Linked DNA regions of Tribolium castaneum. The protein of the gene in region 2 purifies or fractionates together with the protein of the main gene of each other region. This does not show direct contact. Links are inferred from orthologs where the notes say so. Each region holds a gene or a part of one and is shown on either strand. Other genes may lie near its edges. The genes, in order: synaptosomal-associated protein 25, Syx1A and Snap29.

Region 1 (10,590 bases), on a different chromosome or scaffold from region 2:
GGCGTTTCGAGCAGTCGGTAGGGCGCAACCCTTCGGCCTGGATTATTTTTATCCGCACTGTGCCCTTAAACATCGCACTCGCACTAAAACACGATTTGCGAAACCATAGAAGGATATGTAGCGGTTTTTCGGCGAAATACACGAACGCACAAGCTCTGGAGATTGACAGCCGACTATCCCGATCCCGTCGACTCCCACAATTCCCCGTTTTACATTCACAATGGATCCGATGCGCCGCGACGTACCGGGAATAGACGGAAAGTCGACGACCTTCACCCACTATGATATCTCTGCGTACAGTGGGAAACTCCGATAGCTATCACGCCATATCAATAATTCTTTCACCACCACTCTCACCAAAAATAATAAACTATGCAGCTACATCCTCTTTTTTTCGTGATCTTCTCGTTCAGGACACCTTTATAAGCTAATTGTGCCCAATTTGAATCAGAAAAATAATCGATTTCAACATTTTTAACTGCTACAGTGGCGTATTTAAGAATTTAGGTACATTTTTCGAGAAAATTATCAACTAAGCTGCATTTTTATATGAATCTCTACTATTTTTGTGAAATTTTGACCAGTAAAATATTGAGTTTTCAGTATTTTTTTGGAATTTCGGGATATGCAGTTAGTGTTTTTAAGTTAGGATGGTCAATTCTAAAAAAATTAAGCCTTAAAGACTTAAAGGCATTGACAACTTATTTCACTTATTACTCGTATTTTACGTTTCAACCTCGTTTTTACCAGAAGTTAAAAATATTATTCATTTTATGTCAGTAACTGAAAATGAAGAGAGATAATGTCGCTTCGAAAATTTGAAAGTGTAGGAGCGTAGTAGCCGTCTTTCTTCACAAAACCCTCTCTCTTCATAAAATCCTCGCAACAGCCGAAAACTATTGAATTTTTTTGTCACACGAATGAAAAAGGGATAATGAACTATTTTAAATCAAATTAAAAAAAAAGTTTTGCTTTAGAAAAATAATCGTGTTTTAGTAAAGTAAAGAAGTCAGTTTGTGTTGTTCGAAGTTTTATGATGATTTCTGATTTTGAATCTCGTATAATTCTTCCGAATCTCCACTAGAGGTAAGAAATCAAGCTGGTAGATCCCCTAGACCTCTAGGGACAAGAGTCCAATTTCAAGTTGGACATTTTATTTGTAATTTTTAATTTAAAATAAGATGTTTGATAATTTTTTCTTATTTGCTTTATAATTTATGATATCATAGGCGCGAGGCCATAGCGTCGTTTAGTAGAAGCAAAATGCATTTGAAAGGATTAAAGGGTTGTAGCGGAAGTAGATGACGTAGAGATGAGTCCTTTTTTTTATTTTTTTTTATTGTATTTATTCAAGCCTGAGGTAGGTACTACCTATTCGATAAGAAGGCGTCAAAGTGTAGAAGTGCATCCAAAAACCATAAAATTCTTAACGGAATTTTTTTAACAAAATTTTTAGGTACAAAAACAATGAATAAACAAAATTTTGACTTCAGGGAAGCATTAAGGAAGGCTCTTTATTTTAAAAAACAAGGTTTTTTTATTGCCTGTTTTCAAATTTAAACTGACCATTCGTATCAAAATATTGAATGAGTCTAAAAATTTGAAATGATTGGTTTCTGCCTTTATTATAATGGCCGACCTTAAGAGGACCAATCATAGCGATAAATATAATTTCTTAATGAATCTAAAAATCTAATTTGATTGGTTTTCTCCGGAATTTTAATGGCCGACCTGAAACAGCCCAATCAGAATGCTTACAAATTTTACAACAATCATTACGTGCCTTACGGTAATTCATTAAAGTCTACAGGTCTTCAATTCAATTTTTTTCTTTGACAACTCAAGCGCATGCGTGCGCATTTTTTCAATTTGACAAATGACGTTTCGAAAAAATTCAACAAAAAAGACAAAAAGTGACTGGAAATTGTCTCAGAATATCCAAATGTGTAAAAGGGGGTCTTGGGCTAGGTAACTATTGCAGTTTTAAAAACGGGGATGATGTTTTTTGGAATAAGTGTTGGTTTCGATTTTTTAATTTCTGACTACGATCATAATGCCTTTCGAATTTGCCTTCGACGGTGTTGTTTGTTAAAAAGAATGATTTGGGATAACATATAATAGAATACAATTGCAACGAGTGATTTTATCTCGTTTTTTGTTTTTAATTTTTTTGCGCCAAATTAGAGGCGCACGCGCTGTAGACTTTTTTGCCTTCAAATTCGAAGGTTATGTAAGGTTAGGAATGTGATGACAGGTCTTTAAAATGTTGAAAACTCTAAATATTAGCAATTTCCAAATCATCAGATGTCTCACATCATCTGTAAAACCCGAAATCCAATCTCATTTAACATTACTAGAAACCACATATGCTAAAGACGACTTCACGAATGTCACCGATAAAATCGCCTCGCACTTGGGTCGCAATCTCCACACAAAAGAACACCACCCCCTTAGCCACGTGCGTCAAAGAATTGTAAATTATTTCTACAAAAATTTTGTCAACGGCCGCGGAAACCCAACTTTCTCAGTGTATGACGCCCTGCCCCCGGTGGTAACCGTAGACCAAAACTTTGATAGCTTACTGACCCCCAAAGACCACCCGTCCCGCTTGAAAAGCGACTGTTATTACCTAAACCGGGACTATTTATTGCGGGCGCATATGACGGCCCACCAGTCGGAGCTGATGAGGGCCGGTTTGAACAACTTTCTAATGATTGGAGACGTCTACAGACGGGACGAAATCGACAGAACGCACTACCCGGTCTTCCACCAGGTGGACGCAGTTCGTCTGAAGACACGAGACGAGTTGTTCCCCAAAGAGCAAAGCTTGGAGATTTTTGAGGTGGGCAACAACACCCAGAGCACCGGAACCCAGCAGAAACAGGCGTGTCACACTCTGGAAGCGGTCAAGTTGATGGAACACGAACTGAAAACGACTCTGGCAGGCCTTGCCAAGGAGCTGTTTGGGGAGACAATTGAGTACAGGTGGATTGATACATATTTTCCGTTCACTCAACCGTCATGGGAGCTGGAGGTGTTTCACGAGAACAACTGGTTAGAACTGCTGGGATGTGGGATAATGAGACAGCCCATTTTAACCAACTCTGGCATTGTGGACAGGATTGGCTGGGCGTTCGGGATCGGGCTTGAAAGGGTCGCAATGTGTTTGTATAAAATACCCGATATTCGGCTCTTCTGGTCCAAAGACACTGGGTTTTTAAACCAGTTTAAAGTAAAATATGACGAAGACGTTACTTATAGACAAATCAGTCAATATCCACAATGTATCAACGATCTCAGTTTTTGGCTACCACAAGATAGGGAATTTTCGAGTAATGATTTCTACGACTTGGCCAGAAACATTGGAGGTGATACAATTGAACAAGTAGTTTTAGTGGACGAATTCACGCATCCAAAACTTGGGAAAACGAGTCACTGTTACCGCATTATCTACCGGCATATGGAAAAAACTCTGGTCCAGGCCGATGTCAATGTAATTCACAGCGAAATCGCCAAAGTTGCAGCCTCCACATTGGGAGTCCAGATTAGATAATGTCACAGTTAATCCCTATTTAATTAAGCAGCATATTGTTGCTCAAATAATTGTAAAATATTGCGAAATAAAGATTACATTTTAGGCAAGTGTTGGTTTTTATTTTACCCAAAAACGAGGGAGAAATACTATGAAATTTGTATTTCCCTCCATAGTGGTATTGGATCATGTGCAGAAGCGCTAAGTTCCTCCGCATCTCCCTTCCTGCTCCACTCAGTTGGCTGTTGTCATTCAAATGCGATAACCCTTTGACAGTTGTCCTGTCAAGGTGTTATGTGAAATAAAATTCCCAGTGTTGTTTATTACTGCTGAATTAGCCCAAGAATCGTTTAGGAACCCCCTAGTGCGTGTTACTCCCAGCCTAGCGTAAGTAGCAACGTTTCTCTCATGTAACGCACCATCAGGCATTTCCGTCCGGGCGCCGTGTCTTGTTCGAAGCGGGTGTCATAGGATGCTTTGGTGATTCATTTTTGCAAAAAAGATGATGTCATGAGATGCAAATATCGCAAATTTGGCTATTTTTGAAAATTCGAGAACGCGCCCGTCTTGGTTCCCTTAACGCGATTATTGATTTTCTCGGGTCAAACAATGTAGAGTACAGTCCCAAGCAAAAAAGATTGTGCGTCGTCTGGTTTTTGTCAGTTCTGTCATTCTTGATCGTAGAAAATGCCGGCACCTGCACCAGTCGCCGAAAATGGGGCCCCCCGAACCGAGCTGCAGGAGCTCCAGCTCCGGGCTGGGCAAGTCACCGATGAGGTAACACCTGGCGTAATTATGCACCACCTGATTAACATATTCAATCATTTGCAGTCTCTGGAGAGCACCCGGCGCATGTTGGCACTGTGTGAAGAGGTAAATATCCGCCCCCTTGCTGTACCCACCCAGATCCATACCGATAATCTTAATAATTCTCTCTAGGTGACTTATCCCTAATGTAATTTCGTGATAAATGAACCGAGTTGGGGTGTCAGGATCTTGTTTATTTTTAGTTGACTTTCGTAAAACTCATCCCTTCTTTGCTCTAAGTGTTGCAATTACCATACAATGATGGCATAGTTTGATCAGTGAGATAAGAGTAAATTGTTTGGTAATTGTTTTGGTGTATCTCTGTGCTGCATGTCTTGCACTGTCTTTTCTGTCCTCTGATTCGACTCAACCGGTGCAGAGCAGGACTACCGTGGGGCGAGCTCTGCTGAAGAATGCGGCGGGGTTTCGGGGACGGTTGCGGTGTGCTTACATGGACTCGATGTTGTGGTAGCGGTAGCCCTGCAAGTGTGCCTGTGTTTGTGCTGTGTTATTACGTGTACAGATATGAGAAATACCCACACGCACTTTTGCACACACACACTCGCAGACTACAGTTGAATATTTGATTCCCGACCACCGCCACCTCAAACACCGGCTCCAGAAAAATGATCATACAGAGATCTATTAAAACAACTAAACTGAAAAGGGCTTCTACACTTCGTTTCTGTTTTATTGCTGGCTTTGTAGTTTTTTCGAAATTTATATCGTAATGCAAATTAGTGTTCATAGCGTTTTTCTCGTAATAATTCATAATATTCAACCTTGCTAACCGATAGTCATCTTTTCGTAACTACTTATTGGTGTTTTGTTTTGTCTGTCAGTAAACTTGTTAGATCCGTTCATGTTTAATTATTTTTTATGGATATGGCTGTTTTTATTAATATTTCGTGTAAAGATTTGGAGATTACTTTTTATGCTTATATCTAATATTCTGAAGTCTTTAACCGTTTCATTATGGATATTGAAGAACAAACATAATCATGAGAAGCCGTGATGGGAACATTTTGTTATATTCACGTGCAGTTACATTAAGATTTTGTTTAATTAAACCCGTTTTTAAGTGTTTATTTTTGTTTCAGTGAGAAAAAAAATCATTGCAAAAAACATCTATTGAATTGTTAATCTTGTGTAAACGTTTATAACGTAAAAACTTTAATATTTTAACTGTAGTTAAAATCCGGTTAGAAAGAACTAATCCAGCTCTCAGTTCTCTGGAATGCTTTAAAATAGCCATTTCAGATTTTGCATTTTTAATACGTTAAGAATTACTTCCGCCAAATTATTAAAAAAAAAATCAAATATTAATTAGGAGAAATCGCTCGTATGCGCTGATTGTTACAATTTTACGGTTTAAACAGACCTGAAATCGAAAATACTTTATGCTGTTGTTGGTAATTTCTATGAACTTTATTAGGGTGTAGTAATACATTAATTTTCTAGCTTAGTTTACTTGAAAAAAATCATAATTTGTTTGTTCTTTAAAAAAAAAAATGTAATTTTGAAAATGCAAAATTGAAATTACTATTTAAAAACGTTCTTCAGATGTGAGAAAATAAACAAGTTTCGTTTTTTTCTATGCCAGTTCTGTTATTTCTTATTTTAGTATCATCTTATCGCATTCTGTATAATTTTTTTATCGTTTTTGTGGAAATGAAAATGACTGAAGATTTGAACTGGTTTTTGAGAAACTCGGCTTTTTGGCTATTGTCAAATGTCTACAATCAGTTTCTCTTTAGAAGAAAACTGAAAAGTATGTGGTGCCTATTGATCTTAAATTCGTTGGTCACTTTCCTGTTCTAAAATTAAAAATAAAAAAAAAATTCGCCTACATTCGCACCCTAAAAAAACCTAAAGAAGCGGAAAAAGTGTAATTTTGTTGGACAGTACAACAGAAATGAATTGTAGAAGTTTTGCGTGTTCATTTAATTTTTTTATTTTATGGTTATACAGTAAGGTGATCCTGTTGAAACCCTCATGTGTCGCGACTCGCGCGCCTCTATCATAGCTTATCGTACATCCTCCTCCAGCTTGCCGGGCTACCCATTCCACTCGCTCTCTAACTTCCTCTCTATAAATCTCTTCTCTATCTCTTCGAACTGAACAAATAATATACTGAGTGCTTATCTGTAGCGGGCGTGTACCACTTAACATCTATACTAACAAACAGTGTACACTTGTTTTGTGCTGCTGTAGAGCAAGGAGGCTGGAATCCGAACCTTGGTCGCTCTTGATGACCAGGGAGGTGAGTCTCTCTCCACTCACTCTATCATACTTAACCCAAATATCATTTAACCCAAGATCCGTCATTGTGACTCAAATTTTTGTGTATACCTCATCATATTCACGCACGGCTGTGACTTAAGTCACGAGCTGTGGCGCCATCCATCATCATTTTAAATGTGATGTATTTTACATGGATACAGACTGATATACATTTTGCATTCCCACACGTTTTGCATGCTATGGTGGCTTTAGCTTGTCTTACTGCTTTCACTACTTGTGTGTTATTCTGCTTCATTCCACATCTTTTTTGATATTTATCTGGGTGTTGTGGTTTAGTGGTGTGCTGTGTATTGTCGTGTAAGTATGCTACTAGCCACTGTGATGTTGTAGAGTACCGATGCCGGCGCCAAGACTATGGAAATGCTCCACCATCAAGGCGGTAAGCACTCGAAGTGTCCAGGTGTTGATTAACCATTGCTTTATTGGGGATTTAATTGCAATGCGCTCTTTCTCGCAAAGACCGTGTTGAGTTTGTTTTCATTTTTTACACCTGTGGTGGGCTAACAGGTCTCTGTTTGGTGGATTAACTTATCTATAGGTGTCGAAGGGACTAACAACGCCAGTCGGGCTAACACATTAGCTTGTGTTCGCCCAACTGACTCACTTATTTAACGGGGAGAACATGGTGAGAACGGACGCAGGTTACCAAGCTGATTGTCTTGATGTTTGTAGAGCCACGAGGTCGGGATGAAAACCCTGGTCATGCTGGATGAACAGGGCGGTAAGCATACTATCTAGTCTCGCTGTGTCTCTCTTTATATTCCAATTCACCCACAATTAACTGAACAATTCTCACTCCTTAGATCCGAACCACACGACATTCTCAGTTGAACTTTTGCCCTCCCAATCTTACCTGACGATACAGATTTATGACACAGTCTCTTAGTTGTGCAGGGCGAGAGGATTACAAAAAAGCCGGTAGTTAATAATTGAAGGCCGTTAATTAAATGCTCGATTTCAATAGGAGTTTGTGTTTGATTTATGCTCGAAGAAGTTTCTAACTTCCTCTCCAGGCATACATTTTCGCTTGAACTACTTCCTAAATTGTCCAGAGGGTTATTGGATTGGATTTGGACGCATTATTGAACTTTACTAAGAATATTTTTTATTTATTGTTTGCTAAAAACCCGACATCCTCGGGAAATATTTTAGTGAATAATTAAGGAGCATTTTTTATTTAAAAAAAATGTCAATACGGTGTTTAATTTATTTATTGTTCTCGTACTGTTTGTTTTTTATGAAATATGTGGAATTCTAAAATATTTATCGCACGGAGGCGCTTAAAAATCGAACGACAGCAGCCAGCCGGGCGTAAAATAAAACGATTCGAGGGACGGATAAGTAAGGAAATGTGTACCCAAATCGTCCTGCACAACTTTCCCATATCCTCCTAAAACTGAAACGTGTCCAAAACAAATCAATGAAGTACAGTCAGCAGTTGAAATGCTTTCGTCTCTTAAAATTTACCTACATTATAAAAATTTTACTCGAATGTCTCGAAACGAAAGCACTTCAGCGTGAACCTTCATCAATAAAAATAACGTTGTAATGGATAATATAATACATGATTCAAAGACAACAACATACATGAAGGATTAACACTGTCGAAGTAAGTTAACACTAACTCACATAACCGTTAAACGTGTATATTTCACACTGTCAGTTCTCTTATTATATTTCCCAGCTCAGGTCGTTCTTATAAACATCTCGAGTAGCATGAATTTTACTGAATACTAGTCTGCTTACTAAAACATCTAGAACTGTAGTGCATTAACCGAGTCCCTGACCTGGATTCGGGGATTCCCGAGTAGAATAGTGGCATGTGCATGCGGTTTGTTCCAACTCTGACACACACATCAAACGCATACACATTTCAAACTATAGCGAGTTAATGTGCTAAATCGCCTCGGACTCGTCCAAATGCTTATTGAAGTCGATATTGCGCAGAGCAACTGGACCGTATCGAGGATGGCATGGACCAAATCAACGCCGATATGCGAGAAGCCGAAAAGAACCTCACGGGGATGGAAAAATGTTGCGGACTGTGCGTTTTACCATGTCAGAAGTGAGTCCTTCAGGCGATCTAGATTTGTATACGACACGAGATTTGTTTTATTTTATCGCAGAGGGTCGTCGTTTAAAGAGGACGAAGGCACTTGGAAGGGTAACGACGACGGAAAAGTCGTGAATAATCAGCCGCAGAGAATGATGGACGATCGCAACGGTCTTGGGCCGCAGGGAGGATACATCGGACGTATCACAAACGACGCACGCGAGGAAGAAATGGAAGAAAACATGGGACAGGTTAATACCATGATCGGAAATTTGCGCAACATGGCCATCGACATGGGCTCAGAGTTGGAGAATCAAAACAGACAGGTCGATCGTATCAATCTCAAGGTAACTACGGCCGATTTTTACAAGTTTTCGTTCGATATTGTGCTAGCACTGGATTTTATCTTAATTTAATTAAACGCTAACGGTGGTAAGTATGTTAGTTACGAACTTGGAGGGGGGGTTTCTCAAATAAGAAGCACTGAACCAGTAATTTGGAAACGGCAACATGTCCACAAATATAAGTTTTCAACATAATCAAATACTAATTTTGCTAAAAGGGTTTCAAACACTATACAAATGATAATTAAAATAAGGCCGCTTGCAAAGAGAAGGAAATCACAGAAAAAAGGGCATGTTTTCTTTTCCAAATGACCCATTTAATGGTTGTTTGTTTTACTAGACAAATAAAAATGAAATTTTTGTGGTTGTGAGTTTGAGCAGCCTCGCCTGGCGCGTCGAGCTTTTTGAACCAGTGGGGTGTTTATTTGCGAGCACTGGAGCGTTAAATGCACTCTTTGATTGGTTTCTAAATATTTTCGTTTTATTTTTTTCAAAAAGCTTCTGCCGATTTGCGCTAGCATTTACGAATAATTTTCTGATGGATTTGCTTGTGAATTTTAATAATCTTGGTGTTGTTTGTTTACATTGCCGTTCACTTCACGACACTACATCTACTCGTACATTACCTACTAATGGTCCGAATCAGGGCGAGTCCAATGCAACAAGGATAGAGGTGGCCAATCAGCGTGCCCACGATCTCCTCAAGTAGACACACAACACAAAAACACTAATATTTTTACAGACTTTGATTGCAAGCCTGATCCGTTCCTGTTATTTTTCTACAATTGGAGAAACTTTAAGAAACGAAATTAACCGTTTTTGGTTGTTTTGACGCAATTTGCGCTTGTTTTATTAGTGTGGGGCCGGATCAGGTTGGGCTGTAGTTTTTTGTGATGGGGCACACTGGTTATATGTTTGTTGGTTAGGGTGAAAGCAACGAAACGCGCATTGCAGTGGCAAACCAGCGTGCCAACAAACTCCTCAAGTCCTAAGGGGAGTGGGACACAAGTCGCCTTTTATACTCTTCTATCAATTCTCAATGTTATGGCTTAGTGTTACTAGTTTACGAGTATTACTATAACATCATTATAATGTAATAGTTAATATTTAAAAAGTCATGGCCGGTTATTGCTGCATCCAGTAGAGCTAGCCGTTTAATATCTCGATTTTTCTAAATTAATTTAGCGATATGATGCAATGAATTACGTTCCTAATTATGCTCATTTCGTACACTTGTGAACGCTTAACATACACGTATTAGCTCTTTGTGAAACTGTCTAGTTAGGATGAAGCACAAAATTTGCACTCTTCTTGGATTAAATCCCAGTTCATGCAGGAAAAAACGGATGTTACTTATGCGATTTTCTCAAGGTGTGGTGCTAATTGCCGGCGCTTACTTAGCTCTAGTACATAACTTGTACCAAGTATTCATATACCTACTAAATGTGATGTGAGTTTTTTTGGAAGATTGAAGTTGTTGAGTCCACATTGTACATAAGGTTGTCGCTGTAACTGTATATATTGTTGGTATATGCACTAGAATCACAAGG
Region 2 (10,490 bases):
ACAAATTAAATGACGTAATCTCACTTTTTAATAATAATCACCTGAAGGTTCTTCTTCCTGTGGAACACAATACTTTTCGCCTTGACCTTGCGGTCTTTGATGTCGACTTTGTTGCCGCACAGCACAATGGGGATGTTCTCGCACACCCGCACCAGGTCTCTGTGCCAGTTGGGGACGTTTTTGTAGGTGACTCGCGACGTGACGTCGAACATGATGATGGCGCACTGCCCCTGGATGTAGTAGCCGTCGCGCAGCCCCCCAAACTTCTCCTGGCCGGCCGTGTCCCACACGTTGAACCTGATGGCCCCCCGGTTGGTGTGGAACACCAGCGGGTGCACCTCCACGCCGAGCGTCGCGACGTACTTCTTCTCGAACTCGCCCGTCAAGTGCCGCTTGACGAAGGTGGTCTTGCCAGTGCCCCCGTCTCCGACTAGGACGCACTTGAAGGTCGGCATTTCCTGCTCCTGGGCCATGTCTGGGGGCAAATCACCGCTGATTTTGGGCGAACACAACGATCTTACCGAAGCACGTTTCGCAAAGTTTTAATTTTTGTGGGAAATGGCGCTATGAGGATGTTACACAGGATTTTGGAATTGAGTTACCGACTTTGCGAATATTTTTCTCTGGAAATGGGGACCATCGCGCGAAAATAACACCTGGAATCGCAAGATTGGCTCAAAATGTAATTACCTGCGTGGTAAAAAACTCCAATAAACACAGATGAGGACGAAAAGAACGGATTACTTCTGCTACTTCAGCGAGTCGTTAGAGACCACAATGGCGTTCCCTTCGAAGGTGCGAATGGCCGATTCGAAGCCCGCCCGTTTCGCGCAACTGGCCAAACTTAAACCCGATTTTCGCCCCAAACGACTGGGAAAAATCACAAACTTACTTAGCTCGCGTAAAATTCAAATCCGTGTTGTAATTTTTGCGAAAATCGTCCCCGAAAGTAAAAATTCGGCGCGTGACGTCACGGAATTCGGGCGCATGCGCGTTCGCGCAAACTAGCGTCTGGCCCGTGCCGGTCTACAAATGTTCGATCAGTCGAAATGTTGCGAGCGAGGTCGGAACAGTACGAACGGAGACCATAACGGACTTCTCATTTCAGCTGGGCATATTGGAATAGTGGTTTTTATGGAAATATGTTGCGCGTGGCTGGGGCTTCGCCCCAGTTAACTAAAAGGAAACAAACCCCACGACCAATTAAACTCGAAAACGTGGAACTCGAAACGTGGAATAGTGTTTTTTTATGGAGCTAGGGTGGCGTACAGTTCATAAACATAAACACTATTCCACGTTTCGAGTTCCACGTTTTCGAGTTTAATTGGTCGTGGGGTTTGTTTCCTTTTAGTTAACTGGGGCGAAGCCCCAGCCACGCGCAACATATTTCCATAAAAACCACTATTCCAATATGCCCATCAATGCCGATTGTTAATGTAATTATTTTTAAAATACTCAGAAAACTCTTTAGACTTAACCAGCCCAGCTGAAATGAGAAGTCCGTTATGGTCTCCGTTCGTACTGTTCCGACCTCGCTCGCAACATTTCGACTGATCGAACATTTGTAGACCGGCACGGGCCAGACGCTAGTTTCGCGCAACAGCACTGCAGCTCCCTTCTATCGATTTTCGTGTTCCGATGAAAGTGTTGGGTTTCTCGGGTCTAGTTTTAGTGTTTGTGTTAAATAATTTGAATGGGATTCATTTATAAAACACACGTTTTCCGTGCGGTGTGATTAAGCCTCCTCCAAGATGACTAAAGACAGATTGGCGGCCCTTGTCGCTGTAAGCATTTTTCCATCACGCACACGTTCGCTAATTCGCCACAAATCCAATTAATTCGGTGATTCACCAAATGTTCCCAACAACCCCCAACGAAAATTCCGGGGTTTCCCCGCCGAAATCGCGATTTCGCTTGGATCTAGTGGCAATTAGGTTAGGTGGACGAAGCGTTAGTCTTTTGTCATCGCCCCACCCCTTTGATTTGTCATTTTTCCGATAAAAATTTTGAAATTTTTTGCAGGCCCAGAGCGACGATGACGACGTCGGCCCCGACGATGTGGCTGTCAACGTCGAAGGCCGCGACGGCTTCATGGATGCATTTTTTGGCGAGGTAATTAACCTCGTTTAAGCGAGGCGGCCCTGTACACTTGTCAAAAAACGCAGCCCACTTTGATCAGGTCATGGCACCTGTTAACGAGGGTGAATTTGCCTTTTGTTCAGTTAGTAACGACATTTTTCCCTAATCAGGTCATTATAAAAGAGATGTTTCATATGACGCGTGAGTCATTACCTAATCTGATCTAATCTTCATCAGATGTTATGATTAATGAAAGTGACGTTTTTGCACGTTAATCTCCGAAATTCACTGTTACCAACCACCTGCCGGTCAAAGTGGGCCATGACTTTGAAATTCAGTTGCCAGCATTGACCATCAAAAAACGTCACAATTGACAATATTGCCAACTTAATTTCGGCCGGAAATCCAGTTTATCCTGCCGCTTCCGTCATGAAATATGTGGAAACGTCGATTTGCATGTAATTTGCAATTTGTCGAATTTGAATTTCAGACAGTTTTAATGTCAAAAACGCGATTTTCGTCAATAAATCTCGCCGAAATAAATAAAACCCCAGCGCTAAAACAGTGCTCTAAATTAATTAAAGTTTCCTCTTTAGTATGCATGATCCCTGTTTAGGGATTTCATCCAATTTGATTAAGAGTCAAGGACGTTTTGGAAAAATTATAAGTTCTGGACGAGATTTTTATTTTATTTTTTTACGTGTCTTTCGTAGATGACGCGGCTTTTTTATTTAATTATCGGTTTTATCAGAGAATTTATTGAAGGCTGCATGACTCATTGTTGATAAATAAAATAGGCAAATAAATAAGTTAGTGTCGTTTGTGAAAAATTTCAACACTTAATAAAAATTATACGACGTGATTATGGGTCAGGTGTAACACGGAATGGTTTTTTGCCTAATTGATGAACGGGTCGTCGTGTGGCCAAAACTAGTGTTAAATGAGTTTTTGTTTTGTCATTTCGGTCACGTGACTGTTAATTAGACTAATTTGTTTCGTTGTCGATTTTTTTAATTTCAAAAGCCACCTGTCAATGAACTGTTTCAAAGTATGAGCACAACTATTATTTGTGCTCGTTTGTGATTCACTCGTTGCTTTATTCATGAAGTTTTATCGAATACATTGCGTGAAGAGGAAAAGGAAAGGACTCGTATAGTTGTGGGTTTATCTAGTCGTTCAGGCTTAACAAAGGACTCATATTTTGCTCACAATAACAAAAATTAATGAATGACAACTGTTTTTTTTTGGTATGTTTATTTAAATTGAAATTAGAGGACGCACGATATTTTTTTGCTTCGATAAGGAAACTCGAGTGCATTTCTTATCTCGGTGTTTTAATTGGTCGTCAAAAAAGACAAACAAACGCCCGGCTTTAAACTGCGACCAATTGGGACACAGTTGTGACTTTTTGTTGTGTGTTCTTGCGATTTCTGATTGGTCGGGATTTACAAGGCAAACACTTGACCAATTAGGGCCGTGCAAAGCGGAAAGAAAACCAATTGAATTAAATAGTGCTCAAAATTTGACGTATTGCTCTTTTTATCTTCGGATTGGTTCTTATCTTTACAATCTATTTTGAATTATAAATGAGGTCCAAAAAAGAGAGCAACGAAACGTGCGTCTGATTGGCCTGTCTTTATTTTTAACAAATGATTGGATAAGAATTTGACCAATTAGAAGAGTCGTCTGTTGGAAGCAAACACCAATCGAAACCATTTATTTATTGTCAAAAAGGAAATATGAATATTTATTTATAATTTTAAAATTTACATTTTTATTTTTTTTTTAAAATCAAATCATACTTTTTTTAAGTTTTTTTATACGACTTTTAATACTTTTATCCGCAAACGTGACTTGAATGCTTCTTTTCAACCATAGAATAAAAGTTCTACTTTTGTGCCTAAGTATTTTTATTTTTACCAAAATGTTTCCCACTTTATGGAAAATTTGACGTGTCACACGTCGATTTCTTGTGATGCAGCAAAGATAGAACCAATATTTAAAAAAAAACTGTCATCAATTTAATTACGTTTGTAGAAAAAATAATATATGTTATTAGGCTTGAACTACGTTCGGCAAAATAAATATACAGTTTTGTCATATAAAGTATTAATACATCAATAAAAAGACTTGTTATTGAAGCAAATTGTGCTGAAAAAAAAAATTAAACGAGTCAAAAGATACGAAAAATGATTACTTATTGATGAAATTTGAGTTAAAACTGTTAATGATTGAGGTGGATTGTAGTAATTATTTTGGTTTTTTACATATCCACATTAAAAAAAAACTACAAATTTCAAAAGTTGTTATTAATTTGAGTTATGGAGATTAAATCGAAATTATTTGTTTTTTGTCAGAAGAGACCAATAAACGGGCAATAAAGTGCAACAATGGGTAAAAATTGCCGTAATGTCGCCTTCGGCAAAGTATCAAAACGAATCGAATTTATCGCTGAAAAGCGTCGAACATAAACGTTGCCAATTTATCTCGCAACGATCTCCTGTTCGCATATAACACCACTTGAATATTTTTTTCGTGTCAACGCCACCCTCTTTAGCCACATTATCTCCATAGCCTTGGAGGTGATATTATTTTACACGATAACAGCACTAAGGCCATCCTGTGCGATGGTTCCCCGAGGATGTACTAATGTCAGCAGCTCTAACGCTACATAAACATAAATTCTAGCGTTATTTGCGAGTTGATGAAATTCGCCAAATGTGCAACAAGTTATTGAAACACTCTCATTGGGGATTTGCAATTCGAATTGGTAGATTAACCAAATGACAATCTAATTTGGTCGAGGGGCACATCAAACAAATCCCTTAATCCACTTTCTTTTGTTCTAGGTGGAAGACATACGAGACATGATAGATAAGATCCAAGCAAATGTAGAAGAAGTGAAGAAGAAACACAGTGGTATACTTTCAGCGCCGCAAAGTGATGAAAGTAAGTCGTAACATCAGCATTTTACGATTCAGACTCTCCGAAATTGAATTTTTACGCCTTGTACTGAGTTTTGTCGTTAACTAAGTAGTCATTTTTTCTGTGGAAAAAATCGCGTGTCTTGCAGAAAACGAGATTACAATCTGTCGTCGACCCTCTTGCTTAGTCACGCGAATTATGGATTGATTCGATCCAGACTTGCTGCGAATTTTGTAGATAGGTTCAGGTTGTTGCATTTTTTCTCCACCGAAAGATAGAAAGGTTGAGAGGAAGTCGGCGCGATATCGACCGCTTGCGACCTTTCGCACAGGATGTCTTTTATCAAAACGCGGTCGCGAATGTAATAATCGAGGATATATCGCCAATTTACGAATTCAAATTGTGGAAATGCGCGGGAGTGGCGAGGGCGGGCTTACTCACATTTATTTAATTGCAACTAAATGTGAGCGTAATTAACAAACACAGCCTGATGGAATCATTCATAACTAAATATAGAGACAAATGTAGAAATAAAGTCGGAAAAACTCGCGTGACTTGACCTCTGATTAGAGCAAATCGAGTCTAAATAGCATTGTTAGCTAATATTAGTCACTGGGTTATTTTTTCTGTTTGAAAAATGGTAGTTTTCATAATAAATAATCGTTTTTGTATGAAATTATCCCAGACATCCAGTAAAAATTGTACTGGTTTGTAACGAAAACCTTATTAAAAATATCAATATGTAACTGATTTATTTTACAAAAAAACGTCTAAAATCGAAGGAAGTTGAAATTTGTGATATTTTTGTGCAAAATTGTATTTAGTACAAGAATTTTACTTAACAAATATGTGCGATATTTTGTAAAGGACATCGAAAAAGCACTAAGTTATTAAGTCTAACAATACATCATTTATTCTTGTTTTTCAAGTGTTTAGCATATTTTCCAGCTAGATACTTAATTATTTCGCAAAACTTTCTTCAAAGTTAAAACTAAGCTTTAAAATCACTGAAATAGACCAAAAATTATAATATTTTTGTCTTTTTTATGAGTTTAAGCACATTTTTTGAGTTTCAGAACAAAAAATTATGTTTTTTTAACGTTTGATATTTTATTTTGCCAGGTTAAATTTTTGACTAGGTTCACTCGATCTAGCTCGTTTTTGGGCGAAGTCTTTTCTAAAAAACTATAAAGTTTGGTAAAATGTGTTATTTTTATATTTTTCAAGCAAATAAACACGTGTTTAAAAATATATTCTCAGTTTCTTTTGAAAAATTGAGTGAAAAATCACTATATTTTGTTGAATAATTATATTTAGAAAAGGAATTATCTCCAATATTTTCTAAAAAACAAGCCGAAATTTTGCCAAGTTTGATCGAAAATTGTATGAATTCGGCGTTTTTGAAATTTTTAAACACGTTTTTGAGAGAAAATCTACCTTTTTTAGAAAAAAAATTACTAAAAATAGGTGTATATATTATTTTATCACTTTTCAACCAGAAATTCTTTTATTGTTCAAGAACTTTTTACAATAAAAATGTTAAGCTACTTTTGTTTTTTTTTTAACATACACCTTGTAGAACAAAAATCTCAGTTGTTTTTTGAGATTTTACTAGAAAATATCAAAAAATCACCAATTTACATACAAAATTTTCTAATTTTTTCCGTTTTTGAGCCCGTTATTCAGCCAGAAACGCATTTATTTCGCAAAGTGTTGTTGAAAACAGACTGAAAAAGCTGAAAAGTTAGCCATTTATACTAGAATTCGAGTCTTTTGAGGTTAAAACTAAGTTTTTTCCGAAAAATTTTCCTGAATTTAGATGAAAAATTACCGAATTACATAGAAAAAACCCCAAAAGTTAATTAGTTTAATAATTTTTATTAGTGTTTTCACGAATTATAACTTTTGTTGTAAATATTGTCACAATTTTTATAATAAAGAGGAGAAAAGGTTATTTATTTGTCGGAATTGTCGGATATTTTTTTCCGATCGATAAGATTAAACAATGAATTAGTTAAAGTAGTGGAATTGTTTCGTAACATTTTCGAAATTCCGATAAACCCTCTTCCCATTGATATTATTTCGAGTGGTTTTATTAAACAAATTGTTGCGCTAAATAACACAATTCCAGCGTCGGAGATCAAAGCGTCCGCTCCATTATTGCAAACAGCCCAATTATTACAATTAACTCGGACGCTTCTCACTCACTAACATTCAAACAATTTTTTTCGCACATTTCTAATCTAAAATCCAATAAACGTGCCCGCTTTAAAAATAGAAATCGCACGTAAGTGTTGATTGAAATGAATTTATTGCGTAATTCGAGGAGCGTATTTTGGTGGAGGCGCCGGTTTTAATCGAACTTTACGCAGAAATGGACGCAAATGTTTGTTCCATTTTGATAAAACCAATCGTTATAGTTTCGGATGCAACTCCTACATGTTTATAGTCTCGCCCACACGCAAGACAAAAAGTCGGCGAAAGATGTTTATTGCGGGGGCGGGAATGCAAAGGTCGCCGAACATTAATCAAAAGCCAGAGAAAGGCGGAATTTTTATTGAGAGAATAACAGTTTTTGACAAATTAAATCCCCCTGTTGCTGTCTTAAAAATTTAATACTCGCCTCGCCTCGAAATATCCGCACTTAATGGCGTCTCAAGACATGAGTTATCATCTGAAAATTGGAACGTAAAGAGAGGCAAAAAATTCGTCCAAGGCGAGAAACGAAGTTTCATACGAAATCACGATTCTTTCGGGACTAACGTACCAAAAGCAACAAATATGAATCGGGGAAACTTTTCGCCAATTACTCGGCTCGAGTTGAATGAAAATACGCCGATCGATGGTGTGCTTGTCAAGGGCTAAAATTTTTTGTGCCCTAGAGTAAATCTAGGACTCGGTCGAGATCAATAAGGGGTTTAAGGACGTTACGTTTAGGTATTCCCTAGTTTATCATCTGCGGTAGCGCGAGAGAAAGCAAGCGGGAAAAGTGTCCCTAGATCCAGACACACGATTTATTTAAATCTGCATACAAAAAACACCGTTTAATTCAAACTGGAATTGCGGAAATTTACAACTGTTTGCCTGGACGCTAAGATCAATCGCGTTAATGCGATGAAAGAATCATTTATTTAGATATTAAATGTAGTGTCGGTAATAAAGCATGAGAACCTAACCACTGGTCGTTGAATCGATCGTCAACAAATACATTCCTATTGTTGGAAAAGTACTTAACACACAATACGCTGAAATTAGCTCCTCGAAATCGTTTTTTTTTGTGTTAGGCGACATTAAAAGATTCCCTATTTTTGGCCGATATTAGCGTATCTCATTAACCGAGTTTTGAAACGAGCTGCTTAAATATTTAGCGCAAATCTCGAGCTGAAAAAAAGTTTAATAAGAGCATTCCCGGTGAAAAGTTTCACGCCGACGAACAATCTCAATTTATATTGTGATGAATGGGGAATAAACCGAATTGAAATACGAGGCGAGATTTTCAACAAAAAGTTACGAGTTTTAAGCCAAACTTTTACGTCTGGAACATTAAAACACTGGTTCGAGGCAAATTTGATCGACTACGAGTTTTTTCCGTGACGATTTTTGTAAACGTAGCGAAGTGTTTCGAATGGAATTAGCTTTTTTACGTTATTTAAACATTTAACCACGGCTTGAAATTTTTTGTAACCGAAAATGTAATAACATGAAAGCATTTTCCTATCAATTTTAGCACGTCTTTAAAACATAAACGCAATTTGTTCGCGAATCTCGTTAAAAAGAAGCTGAAAACTAGTTATATCGAAAATAGTATTATACATATTTTTGATATTTTGAAGCTAACAGCTGTTTTTAAAAGCAAAAAAACTTGCTTTTTCCATATATTCCAAGCCAAATGTGAAAGGATTCCTGTTGTCCGAATGAATTGAAATTTTGCATACTTACGTAATCTGCGTGACAATGTAATTCTTTATAGTTATTTAGTCCCTAAAGGGGTTAAAGGGGGATTAAAGTTTAAAATTAGTTAAAAGCTGCTTTTTACTTTGCAAAATATCGCTAAATTTGACCGAAAAATTATCACAATATCTAGAAAAGTAGGACATTTTGCGTGTTTTTTATACTTTTTTTCTTTAATTTCTTAAATTAGTAGATTATGATAGAGAACTAAAGAAAAAAGACAACAAAAAATTTCTAAAAAAGCAAATTTCATCAAAACTTCTTAAAAATTGAGCCAAAAATAATGTTATTTTTGTCATTTTCAAGTAAAATTTCGTCAAAAAGAAACCCAAAAATCTTCAAATTGAATCTGAAACGCTGTTTTTTTGGTTTATTTACGTGTTTACACCAAAAAACTAAAGTCCAAAAAGAGTTTTTTTTAACTTTTTTGAGTTTAAAACGGCAAATTTCACCGAAAAATTATAATAATATAATAATACTTAGTTCTTTTTCTCCCAAATGTTGGCTCAGAAAAACTATTCCATCAGTTTCTTTCTTCTTTTTTGCTTTTCTAAGTTGGAGAATTAATGATTTTTCAAAATATCGTCAAAACAAGTTGAAAATTGAACCGAAAATATTGTTACTTTTGTTATTTTCAGGCCTTTAAGCTCGATTTTAAGTTAAATTTTTGCCTAAAACCATCCATTAGAATCACTTTTGATCATTTTTTGCTAAAAAAATACTAAATTTTGCAGATTCTGACAGTATTTTCGTCCTTTTAATTGATTTCCGAATGTTTTTTTTTGCTGAAAACGGTATTTTTGTCTAAATTATGTCAAAGAGAACGCTAAAAATTCACTAATCAGTATTTGTAACGGATTTTCGTCTGAATTATTTCACAAAATTTAATAAAAAAGTGGTGTTATTTTTGCCTTTTTGAAACTTCTTTAAGCCAATCGTGGCCTAAAAGCATTTTCCATAGTATTAGAATTAGCTTCAGAGACGGAGTTTCCCGAATTTCCGCCTTACTTCCGGTTACGTTCTCAATTCACAATGCACAAAGTTCTAGATTTCTAGCAAGATAGCAAGTTGCTTTCAATGGTATCGAGCTGCTTGAACGGATCTCATAATTTCATATTTTATACATTTATCAATAGTCGTTCAGATGCAAATCGCTTCCAAGTAATAAAACGAATTTATTTGTTTGATTTTTCTCCGGTACCGCCAATTTTGAGTTAATTGAAATATGCTGAGGGAGGTGAATTTAAGTTGGTTAAAAATCGCCTCGTTCCCAATTCGCCGTTTTATTGACAGTGAATTAATCAAGTCGATGACTTCCATTTTTACCTGTTGTAGTAGTCCAGGTGAGGAGCGGGCGTTTCACCTGCTCGTAGAAATCGATTATTGACTTGAATAATTAAATGCGATGTAATGTAATTTTTCTTAATTTCAGAAACGAAACAAGAACTTGAAGATTTAATGGCCGATATCAAGAAAACTGCCAATAAAGTCCGTGCCAAGCTTAAAGGTACCAAAAAAAATAAATAAATTGCGTA
Region 3 (9,765 bases), on a different chromosome or scaffold from region 2:
TTTGGGCTCTTTGCGCCAAAATCTGGACCCGTTTGAGCAATTCAGCGACAGTCAGTTGTGGTCGTCACTTGAAGAGGTTGAACTTAAGGAAATGGTGACGAATTGGGCGCAAGGTCTTGAAACTACGATTTTGGAGGGCGGGGCTAATGTTAGTGTGGGCCAGAGGCAACTTTTGTGCCTAGTCCGGGCCATTTTGCGCAACTCAAAAATCATAGTTTTGGACGAAGCGACCGCAAATGTTGACTTGAAAACCGACGAAGTTATCCAGAAAGTTGTAAGGAGGAAGTTTCGGAATTGTACGGTTCTGACCATCGCCCATCGGTTGAACACCATCATGGACTCGGACAAGATCCTGGTGATGGATGCTGGGACGGTGGCCGAGTTTGGCCCACCTGCCCAACTTTTGAAGAACGAAAATGGGTTGTTTTATGGGTTTGTTCAAACGAGTGGGAAAAAATAATTATTTATTAAAAAAAAATTATACAGTCGAGAGTATTATTTTTTCAAGTCCTGAATTGTGCCAGAACGATGACGAAAGCCACTATAGTTTCCAAAACGTCCAAAATTGTTGATTTGTCCAAAACAAAAAAATTTGCAGCTGTGATTTTAATCTCGGTTTTTCGGATCAAACTGACGATTTCTGGCGATTTTCCAAAACTCGGATCCATTTCGTACGTGAGTTTGATGATTTTTTTGCGCTCTTCTAACATGTTGTCGACCTTCTGCACAAATTCAGCCGTATGAATGGCTTCAGACGGCAGAATATGTGCAAAAGAGACGAAGGTTTCGATAGCAGCAGCCACAGAGCTGCTAAGCTGTGCAGCGGCTACCTTCACCTTCATTTTCATGTAAGAGTCTTTGAAATTAAAATACTCCTTCTTTAATTTGGGCAACGATTTAAAAGTTTTTTGTTGAATTTTGCATTTCAATAATGCATTTCGCGTGTTTTTTAAAAGATGCGACACGTCGAAAATTGTAACAATCGGCTGATTATTAATGAAGAAATAATATGAACCTTGCCTGGGATGTTGTTTGGCATAAAGCTGATTCAACGCGGAAACATTTGTAGTGCCCTGATCACAAACAGTAGCGACTACCGTTAAACCGATGTTCTGAAGTTGTGAAATTATTTCTTCAATAAGAAACTTTAGATTGTTCGCGCTAACTGTATTTGCCGTAAAGTAATAAGCAATTACTTGTTTCCACTGGAGTCTCAACCTTCGGATCATAAAAACAAGAGCATGGTTGACTGCTTTGTTAGTGCGACCCAAGGAGCCCATGTCCTCGTAACCACTGTTTAGCTCGTTCATAATGAAATCCTTGACAAACCGACATCTCATCAAACAATAACGATCTGCATGTTTCATTTTTGAGACGTGATTTTTCAGGTGTTCCAAAATACCTGGATTAATACCAGTATCGAACTGAATCTTAGCTAAAATGGCTTTCAGTGTGCGGGAAGAGGGTAATTGAAAATGGACTTGCAAATACTTATACAATCTCGGACTTCTCTTGTACAAAGATAAAGCAAAAGCTTTATCCTCGTCTGTCCATCTGCGCGCGGTCGGTTGACAGGAAACATTTCGCAATTGTGAATTAATGAAAGCCTTAGTGACTTCATTCAAATTTTCGGTGATGAACTCGAATTTTCCGGCATCGTACAATTTTTGCAAAGTCTTCACCTTACCCTTTTCCTTTTCTAATGTTTTGCTCAATCTACACAACCTCGACTGAATGTTTCGGTGAGCTTTGTACATCAGCTCTTTTCGCGGTGTCAAATCTTTGGAAGAACAGCCAATTTTAGTTAGAATACCGTCTCTACCTTGATTATCCAGAAACGCGAATTTGTTTACATTAAATGAGGTTTCATTATGATTCTCTAAACAGCTGCTGTTCGAAATGGTGGAATCTGAATTGTTTATTACTTCACTACTTTGCGAATGAGAGGAACTGCATAATTCATTATATGCCAAATTTACAAAAGATGACGTTGAAGGTGATTCAACAGACAAAGAACCAACAACATTTACATTTTCCTCAGACAAAGCAGATGAAGAAGGATCTTCAAATATTTTGCTTTGTTGATCTGGATGTGGCAGATCCTCAAGTAAATGAATGTCAGATGGTTCAGTGGGAACGAGTGTACTGCTCTGAAATTTAGACGATCTTTCCTCTCATTCACAAAAGCAGATTCGTCAAAATGATCCTCACAAATTCTAAAAAAATCTGAATTTTTGGAACTTATCTTGCAAATGTTCCTCCATTGTTGATGCTGCGTAGGGTCTTTTGGAAACACAAAAAAGTGCTTGTTCACAAAGCCCTCTGGAGTGTTGATGTATAGTACCAGTTGTTGCAGCCTGGATACTTGCAGCAGTACTTCTTTCGAGGAACAACATAACTTTGTTAATTTAATTTAAGTCCTGCTCGTCACTTCACCCCATGAGAACGTTATTCGTCTCTAAAAATACATCAAAACTGAATTAATACAGTTACAAATCAGTTTTATTTTTACTTACATCCCCTGGAACTCCTTTTCTGACCCTTATTCACGAAAAAACAACAGTGAGAAACAATTGAAACACAATTGCTCTTGCGCAAACGAATCTTATTGGCTGTTTGGGAAAAGAAGCTTGGAGCACGCGCTATACACCCGCTGTTTGACCCCTCTTTCCCCGACCCTAGGAGGTGGCCCACATACTTTCGTGTTTCCACTTATGCAACCCCAGTTTCATACCCGTGGCTGTCAGCAGAGAATAGGCTGTCAGTGTGGTGTGACAATGTCGGTAAAACAGAACACTGTGGGAAGGGGGGGCGTTTAAATCAGTTCAGTTCATTATTAAAGAATTTATTCACATAATAATGCAATCATAACAACAATCGATAGATCCATTTACGCTCCAAATATACAAATAATTACTAATCAACTAAACAGAGAGTATTACAATCAATTACAAGACAGAAAAGTGCAACATTTTGATTTCCGCTTTAAAAACTAAAAACACTAGGATTTTTTCAATATTCTCATCATATCTTTGTTCTGCTTGGTGATGGTCATATCAGCCGTCTCCGCCTTATCAGTAATGGTGCTAATCAAGTCATTTTGCGAGTCAATCTCGAACGACAAATCCGTGGCTAAATTTTTCAAGCGTGATATATTTGAACACATTTCTTGCAAATTGGCGTCCAGTTTCGCACTAAAATCCTTACTCCCTGACGTTTGCCCCGCATTATTATAATCCAAGTTTTTCAACCTGGTTGAGGGATGATTCTCGAAGCGGTCATAAGTCGACAACTTTTGCTCGAACTCTTTGTGCAAATCTTCAGACTCTGATTTAGTTGTCTTTGACGGGGGGCTCGGACTTGCGTCGTTTTTCCCCGCCATGTAGTTCTTCAAACTGTTGAAAACCGACTTGATCCCGTTGATATGCTTCTGGGAGAATCTCAAAGTCGCGTTGATTTCATCCAATTGCTTATCAGTTTTCTCCAACTTCTCTCTTTGCCTCATCAATTCTTCGGCTGTGGCGATGCCAATTTGTTCGGAATCGCGCAAAATACTCAAACTTTTCTCCGTGCTGTTGATGGTGCGGTCTTCGATGGCCCGTTTGCGCTCCTGGAAGGACTGCAACTGGTCGTCGAAAGACGCCTGGGGGCCCCCTTGCGACCGACGCGAGTTGCGCAAAAACAGCTCATCGTCGACGTCGTCGTCGTTCTCGAACGGGTTAGTGGACCTGGCGTAGGGATTCGACATTTGGGGGGCGGAATATCACAATAAATAAAAACACAAAAGTTGCAATTTTGACATTTGTTATTGACACTGACGTGGGGATTTTCTTGCTTGAGTTAGTAACATCACAGTTAGTGTAGGCAACCAACAATACACCTTGCTCAAAAAACTTTATTCGCAATTAAACAATTCAATAAATGGGCTTTTCGGTGCCCCCTTGCGCCTCCTGCGCCGCCGCCAGCCTGGCATGCTCCTCTGCGATTTTCTGGAACAGCTTGAAATGCTTGTCCTTGGCGCGGCTCACCGCCACCGAGTCGACTGGCACCACGACCGTCCCGGGGGCGGCATGCCTGGCGTTGGCGATGTTTGCGAACTGCACGAGATGGCGGTGCTTGGCCGCCGCCACCACCGGCGTGTCGGATGGGAGCGGCTCTGGCGCGAAATTCAAAACCGGGTGAAAGCCGTTCTTATCGGCCGTGTACTCAACAGTGCGGATCTTAAACCGGGGATCCACATACGAGTACGAGCCTTGGACCACCCCCGAACCGTCGGAAACCTCCGAATGCGTCCGGTCGATGTGGCCGGGGAAACGACCGGCGGCGTAACCAAAAGCGTACGGCTTTGGGGGCGGCGGCGGTGTTGACGGCTCGGTTTGCTGGACGTGCACCAAGTGGGCGACGTCGCACGCCGCCCCCGAGGTCAGCGCCAACAGGGCCAAAAACTGGGGATTTTAACAATCAAATTGTGGGGTTGGCAGGACTTTTAATTAAAATATCAAGCCCGGTTTAGGGGAGTCGTAACAATAAAACGGTTTATTTTTCGTGAGGTTTACGATTAGTGGCAATTGTTTACGTCTCAGCCAACTGGGCTAATAATTATTAATCCGGTAATTCCCCCGAATGGATTCACATGACTGTTGGTAGTAAACATACGCGACATTTCTAATCGAGGCGGCCTCGGTCATTAATCCAAACTTTATGACGTCGTCATTGTAAATTTCTAAGTTGGCAGCGTTGAAACGTGATAACTAACAGTGTCACCAATCGTAAATCACTAAATCACGCAACTCAATTTCCCCAAATTTAGAATGCGCCTAAACTTTGGGAAATATTTACGCCAATAACTTTTGATTAATCGTCTTGGGAATGAATAGAGAATGAAAGTGGGACAAGGCGATTGCCGGAGGCTTGAGATTTCACAAAAATTCGGCAAAAACTCACCGTTCTATTCATTGTATTGCGTTTTTTTTGTCAAACACACCGATGCACTTCTTGTCGTTGTGGCAAAATGACTAAAATCAGATTTGCGTTTTGAGTGAAAGTTGGTAAATTGCGTCACTCACACAATCTCGTGACTGAGAAACAACACACGGACACACAAACGTGTTTGTGATTTCTTTTTCATTTTGCGATGAATTTATTCTTAAACGGAGAAAAGTCAAGGCCGTGAAGATGATACTGGAATGATCTCATGCCTGACTTAATTTGCGTTGGTACGACTGGTCTTGAATTGGCCACGCCCATCAATATATTTCTATTTACCCAAAATAAATTTGAAACTAGTAAATAATTACATGTTATCCTCCCTCATTATTATAATTTATAAACTGCAAATAATTAATGTCTGCTGCAGAGTTCCGTTCGAGCGCTAATTCGTTAATATCAGATAAAATAATCAACAAACACATTGTTTATTTAACATTTGGACGAGCTTTGCCGATTGGAATTAATTACAACAAAAAACAATACACAATAAAAACAGCAATCGGTAGTACATTGTGGATTAAATCGGGTTATTCAAATAATGTTTGCAATTGTCAATATTACCAGAAACATTTTACTGAAAGTAATACAATTGGCGCACTCGCTACGTTCGTTATTGGTTATGCAACCAACAATACTATAGGGCCAATAAATCACCCTCCGGATCTTTTCTTCGCTTCCCTTGGAACAAAAAAGGTTATCCTCCGGCCATAAATTCATTTAGTCGGGTAATAATAGCAATAATCAGGCATTCCCGTAATCGGATCGCTTTTCGGGTCAAAGACGTACAACTCGTACATAAATTCCGCAGATTTGGGTAAACCCCCGAGGTCGTCAATTATTAATGAAAGTGGCAGAAAATCAAATTTTTTAAATTTCCCGGCCCGAAGTGGGCGTGGTTACGCAATCACAGAATTTCATTTCAATTTTTCTTCGTTTTCTTTGGGAAAACCACCTCTAGACATGAGGAAAAAAACAAATTGCACCCTTTTTAAGGCGAAGCCGTGACACATCCATTAATTCTCCGTCCAGATCCTCGCATTTATCAAACTTAGAGCCACGACACAACGATGGCGCTTTATGATTTTCGAAACGTATTCGTCCATTTGTTTCGGAACGTGACCGATAACGAAATGGAACGGATTAACCTATGCTTTAAATCGATGATCTTTATCGCGACTTGCAAATTTCGCCGACTTTAACGGCGACGACGTGTGATATTATGGCCGGAATAAATTTTCCAAAACGTTGCCTACTTGGGATACGAATCTATTCGCCCAACTGGTTGCCTATACGCTGAAATATCGACGTATTCAGCTGTAATTACGTGGAATAATAGCAATCGTTTCATTGTTTGCTTTTCTTATTCAAAGCCTCCGACATTGTCTGTTTTGTAAAACACACACAACAACGATTTTAACTGTTCATGTCAGTGTAATTACGTTTAATTATTTCAGCTATTAATGTAAAGCAACCCACAATGCACCTTTGTATAATTAGTTACATAAACTGGCAGGATTAAGTGAAAGGGATTGGATTAATTGAATCCAAGCTTAGACATAGTTTATATTTTACAATAATATAATACAATAGAAGTCGATTCGTATAAATAAAGCGATGACTTTACGAAATGTATTTTTCATCAGTTTTGTACATTTGGAAAATCACCAGATTCACTTATATCTTGTAGTTTATTTGTTTAAAATAACATTTGTGTGACACCAAAAATCAAAAAATGTTATTCTCTCTATACTAATACAAGTAGAGGCGTTATAGAAATACTGGCAAAAAACGTCAGAATTACTGGTATAAGTACGTCACTTAGGAACATTATAAAGTAAAGAGTGGCAAGTAACGAGGAATGTATAAAAATCAAGTCTTTTGTGAGAAAGGAAACCTAATAATAAATACTGTGAACGTAAAAAAATAATACTGAACATAATGTACAAAAATAATAATTCTTCTTCCTTAACTCTTACTACGTTATTAAAAAACCCAGCAGTTAAAAATGGCAAGGCTAAATATTGGCTTAGATACATATATACAAACAAAACACATCTACATATTTGTGACACGTCGCCGGAAAAGACGCCCTCTGGCGAGCGATTTTTCCGCCGCCTATTTTGGTCATTAGGACGGTAATTTCTCGTGTATTTAGCCCGAACGATAATAAATAACATGAATTCAGTCCGTTCATCTAAACTAACTAAAAATATACAGGGGACGAAACAATTCGGAGAAGAGTTTTGAGAAAATCGGGTCATAGTAGCTGCCGTTCTTTTTGTTTGTTGTCAACACGAACACCCTGTATCTTATCAAAAATTATATAAAAAATTAAAATTATATATAGTCACTTAACATTATAAATATGTACACTTTTGCAAATTCATTTTTATACACTGCTACTTTATCATCGTAAAGTATTATAATCGTACATACACTATAATCTAACAATTAGTGGATTTTTACTTTATTAGGTTTGTCCTCGTGAGGGACCGCGTTCACACGTGTGACTGTCATGGCTAAGTTTTTTAAAACGTCAAAAGCGAAAGTGGGTTTTGATTAGGCCGAACCGTCTATCGGGGGCGGCGGGGGTAGTGAGCTCTAATTAACGGAATTATTGCTAAAATCACACGAAACGGGGCTATCTAGTACCCTGCGCTTCCAAACGTCACGAAATGAGTATTATCAATAAATAACTAGGTATAGTTAGGTCGTTGTTTAATGTCTTTCAAGTGTTTCACTCCAAATTTCTTCAATAAAATTAAGTAGACATGCCATCATGAGTGTGTTTAACCATAATTGCAGCTTAAAACTCGTTTTCTCTCAAAGATTTGGTTAGTTGGTCGTGGCCCCACGTTGGGCGCCACAGCCCAATTTAACCCGGCATCCATTTTTTGCACTGACAACTCCAAAAATCATCAAAATGTATCGAAATTTGTACTTTTTTTCTAATTGCAATTCGCCCCCTCGGCTCACTACCCTTTAGTCCGACTCAGCCCCGAATTTCACGCATCACTAAAATGCCCCTGACTCGGTTTCTCCTCCTGCATGTGCCTAAATCTGACGAAACCTTGTTCGTCCACCAGCATGGAATCCTGGTGGTTCGGCAAGGTTTGCACCCCGAGATGGGGTCGAGCATGGTTTTTACGCGTCCGACCAGTCGATCTCCTCCCGGACGTATTCGACGAATTCCGACTCCTTCTATCGAAATCCCCGCGTTCGAAATCATGCCGCGTCCTTTCGTACTGGTGATTATCCACCGGTTCGCTATAGATATTACGTTCTTGCGCCCCGCCTTCATCGTCATACTTCGGCTTCGTGTAGTACTTTGCCGAATTCAACCGCGCCGAACTTCGGCCGAAGTTCGCCTCGTGGTTATTCGGACGCGAATCGAACCGATCGGACCAATTCGGGCGTTCGAAACGGTCGAAATTGCTAGTGCGTTCCGAATCGGAATGGTAACGTTCTAGGGTTGATTTCTTATCGAAGGAGTCGTTTTGAAAGGCGGTTTTTAACAAATTGGGACGTTCGACTGGTTCGGTTGGTATGTTGTCCATAATCATCTCGTTCCGGCTGTAGTTAAGCGCGTTGGGGTTGGTATTACAATTGTTAGGGTATATGTTATCAGTGCTTGAGTCGCTGGTCGTGCACGGGAAGAGGGGGAATCCCCCGGTTTGCTTCTCGCGTTGCGACATTTTCAAGCTCACCACGATTGCCAAAAGGGTGATTATTGAAATTTCGAGGAAACGGACCGAAAGTTCGAAACCCCACAAAATCCAATGGTGTTTAGTCTCATCATTGAATCGGTCGATTTTAATGAAGAACAATGCATACAATTGGACGAAGCCCAAAAGTATGAAAAGTAGCGCCACTGCGATTGTTATATGCGACGCATATGAGATGTTCTGTGTGCACATCTCGGACAAGTTCTGGCTTTTCTTGGCCAAGACGTTTTTAATGATTCGGTACAAGTACAAGTAACTAAAACCGAGCGCCCATGACAGGAGGACGAAAACCGGTCGACAGACAATGAGACTGGCCTTTTCAAAATGGCCGAAACTCTCAAACGTGCTCAAACATATACATAGAACTATATGTAAGAGTGCGAACACGACGAGAAAAACCGGTCGCGTCTTGACTTCCAAATGCGTCAGCGTCCGTTTGAGGAGGAAAAGGATCAAAACGGCGAACGTCGTTGCTAGAAGCGACAAAGGGAACGAATGCAAGAACTCATATAGGAAAATATTGAACGATTTATTGACGTTGTACGGATCATAGGTGAGGTAGAAAATCCTCAGCACACAAATCACCGTCAACATCAAATGAATCGTCAGGAAATAGCTCTTCGAGAACATATGAGGGTCGTTCTCGTACCGCACCAACTTATAGATCGAATAGATCGCCAGGAGGATATAACCAAACACAACCAAATAAACATGAACGTTCCAACAAATCAGCCAAATCTCCTCGGTACTCGCCTTTGTCACGTTCGTCTCCTTCTCCTTAACGTTCGGCAAGTTGACCGAAACTTGCGTCGTCTCCTCCTTCCGTACCGTCACACTTTCGGTGATCTCCTCGCTCCTCTCAGTCTCATGCTCCTCGACTTCGTCCCGGACGATCTCAACTGACGGTTCCGCGGCCGGTGCTCGTGTCTTGGTGGTTTTGACGTTTTGTGGTGTTGCTGTCACAGCACGGTACAGTATTTCCGGTATCTGTATATCATCATGGCGTCCATTAGAACCGCTCAGTATCCTGGTGATTGACGGTTCCGGTGCG

Evidence for each region.
Region 1: the proteins of Syx1A (region 2) and synaptosomal-associated protein 25 purify together in Drosophila melanogaster (affinity purification with western blotting; 4 studies listed by BioGRID, with this or other methods). This does not show direct contact. The link is inferred for Tribolium castaneum from reciprocal best matches to the Drosophila melanogaster genes Syx1A and Snap25.
Region 3: the proteins of Syx1A (region 2) and Snap29 purify together in Drosophila melanogaster (affinity purification with mass spectrometry; 3 studies listed by BioGRID, with this or other methods). This does not show direct contact. The link is inferred for Tribolium castaneum from reciprocal best matches to the Drosophila melanogaster genes Syx1A and Snap29.

What each region holds. Positions count from the first base shown.
Region 1 is NC_087396.1:11,298,725-11,309,314, forward strand, and holds the start of synaptosomal-associated protein 25, read left to right. Parts: upstream 1-3,761; 5' UTR 3,762-3,919; intron 3,920-4,216; 5' UTR 4,217-4,219; coding exon of another isoform or gene 4,220-4,247; coding exon 4,248-4,309; intron 4,310-4,363; coding exon 4,364-4,405; intron 4,406-6,553; coding exon of another isoform or gene 6,554-6,602; intron 6,603-6,973; coding exon 6,974-7,022; intron 7,023-7,315; coding exon 7,316-7,364; intron 7,365-8,590; coding exon 8,591-8,708; intron 8,709-8,769; coding exon 8,770-9,043; intron 9,044-9,686; coding exon of another isoform or gene 9,687-9,749; exon of another isoform or gene 9,750-9,966; coding exon 9,967-10,032; 3' UTR 10,033-10,590. Other genes in the region: protein kinase C, read right to left, coding at 1-73; PheRS-m (probable phenylalanine--tRNA ligase, mitochondrial), read left to right, coding at 2,264-3,553. UniProt on the Drosophila melanogaster protein: May play an important role in the synaptic function of specific neuronal systems. Associates with proteins involved in vesicle docking and membrane fusion.
Region 2 is NC_087395.1:25,529,207-25,539,696, reverse strand, and holds the start of Syx1A (syntaxin 1A), read left to right. Parts: upstream 1-1,656; 5' UTR 1,657-1,751; coding exon 1,752-1,784; intron 1,785-2,022; coding exon 2,023-2,112; intron 2,113-4,928; coding exon 4,929-5,028; intron 5,029-10,387; coding exon 10,388-10,462; intron 10,463-10,490. Other genes in the region: GTP-binding nuclear protein Ran, read right to left, coding at 42-473.
Region 3 is NC_087401.1:16,862,059-16,871,823, reverse strand, and holds Snap29 (synaptosomal-associated protein 29), read right to left. Parts: upstream 3,843-9,765; 5' UTR 3,749-3,842; coding exon 3,002-3,748; 3' UTR 2,830-3,001; downstream 1-2,829. Other genes in the region: uncharacterized protein LOC135266932, read right to left, coding at 504-1,757; larval cuticle protein A2B, read right to left, coding at 3,915-4,445, 4,945-4,956; uncharacterized protein LOC100142142, read right to left, coding at 7,995-9,765.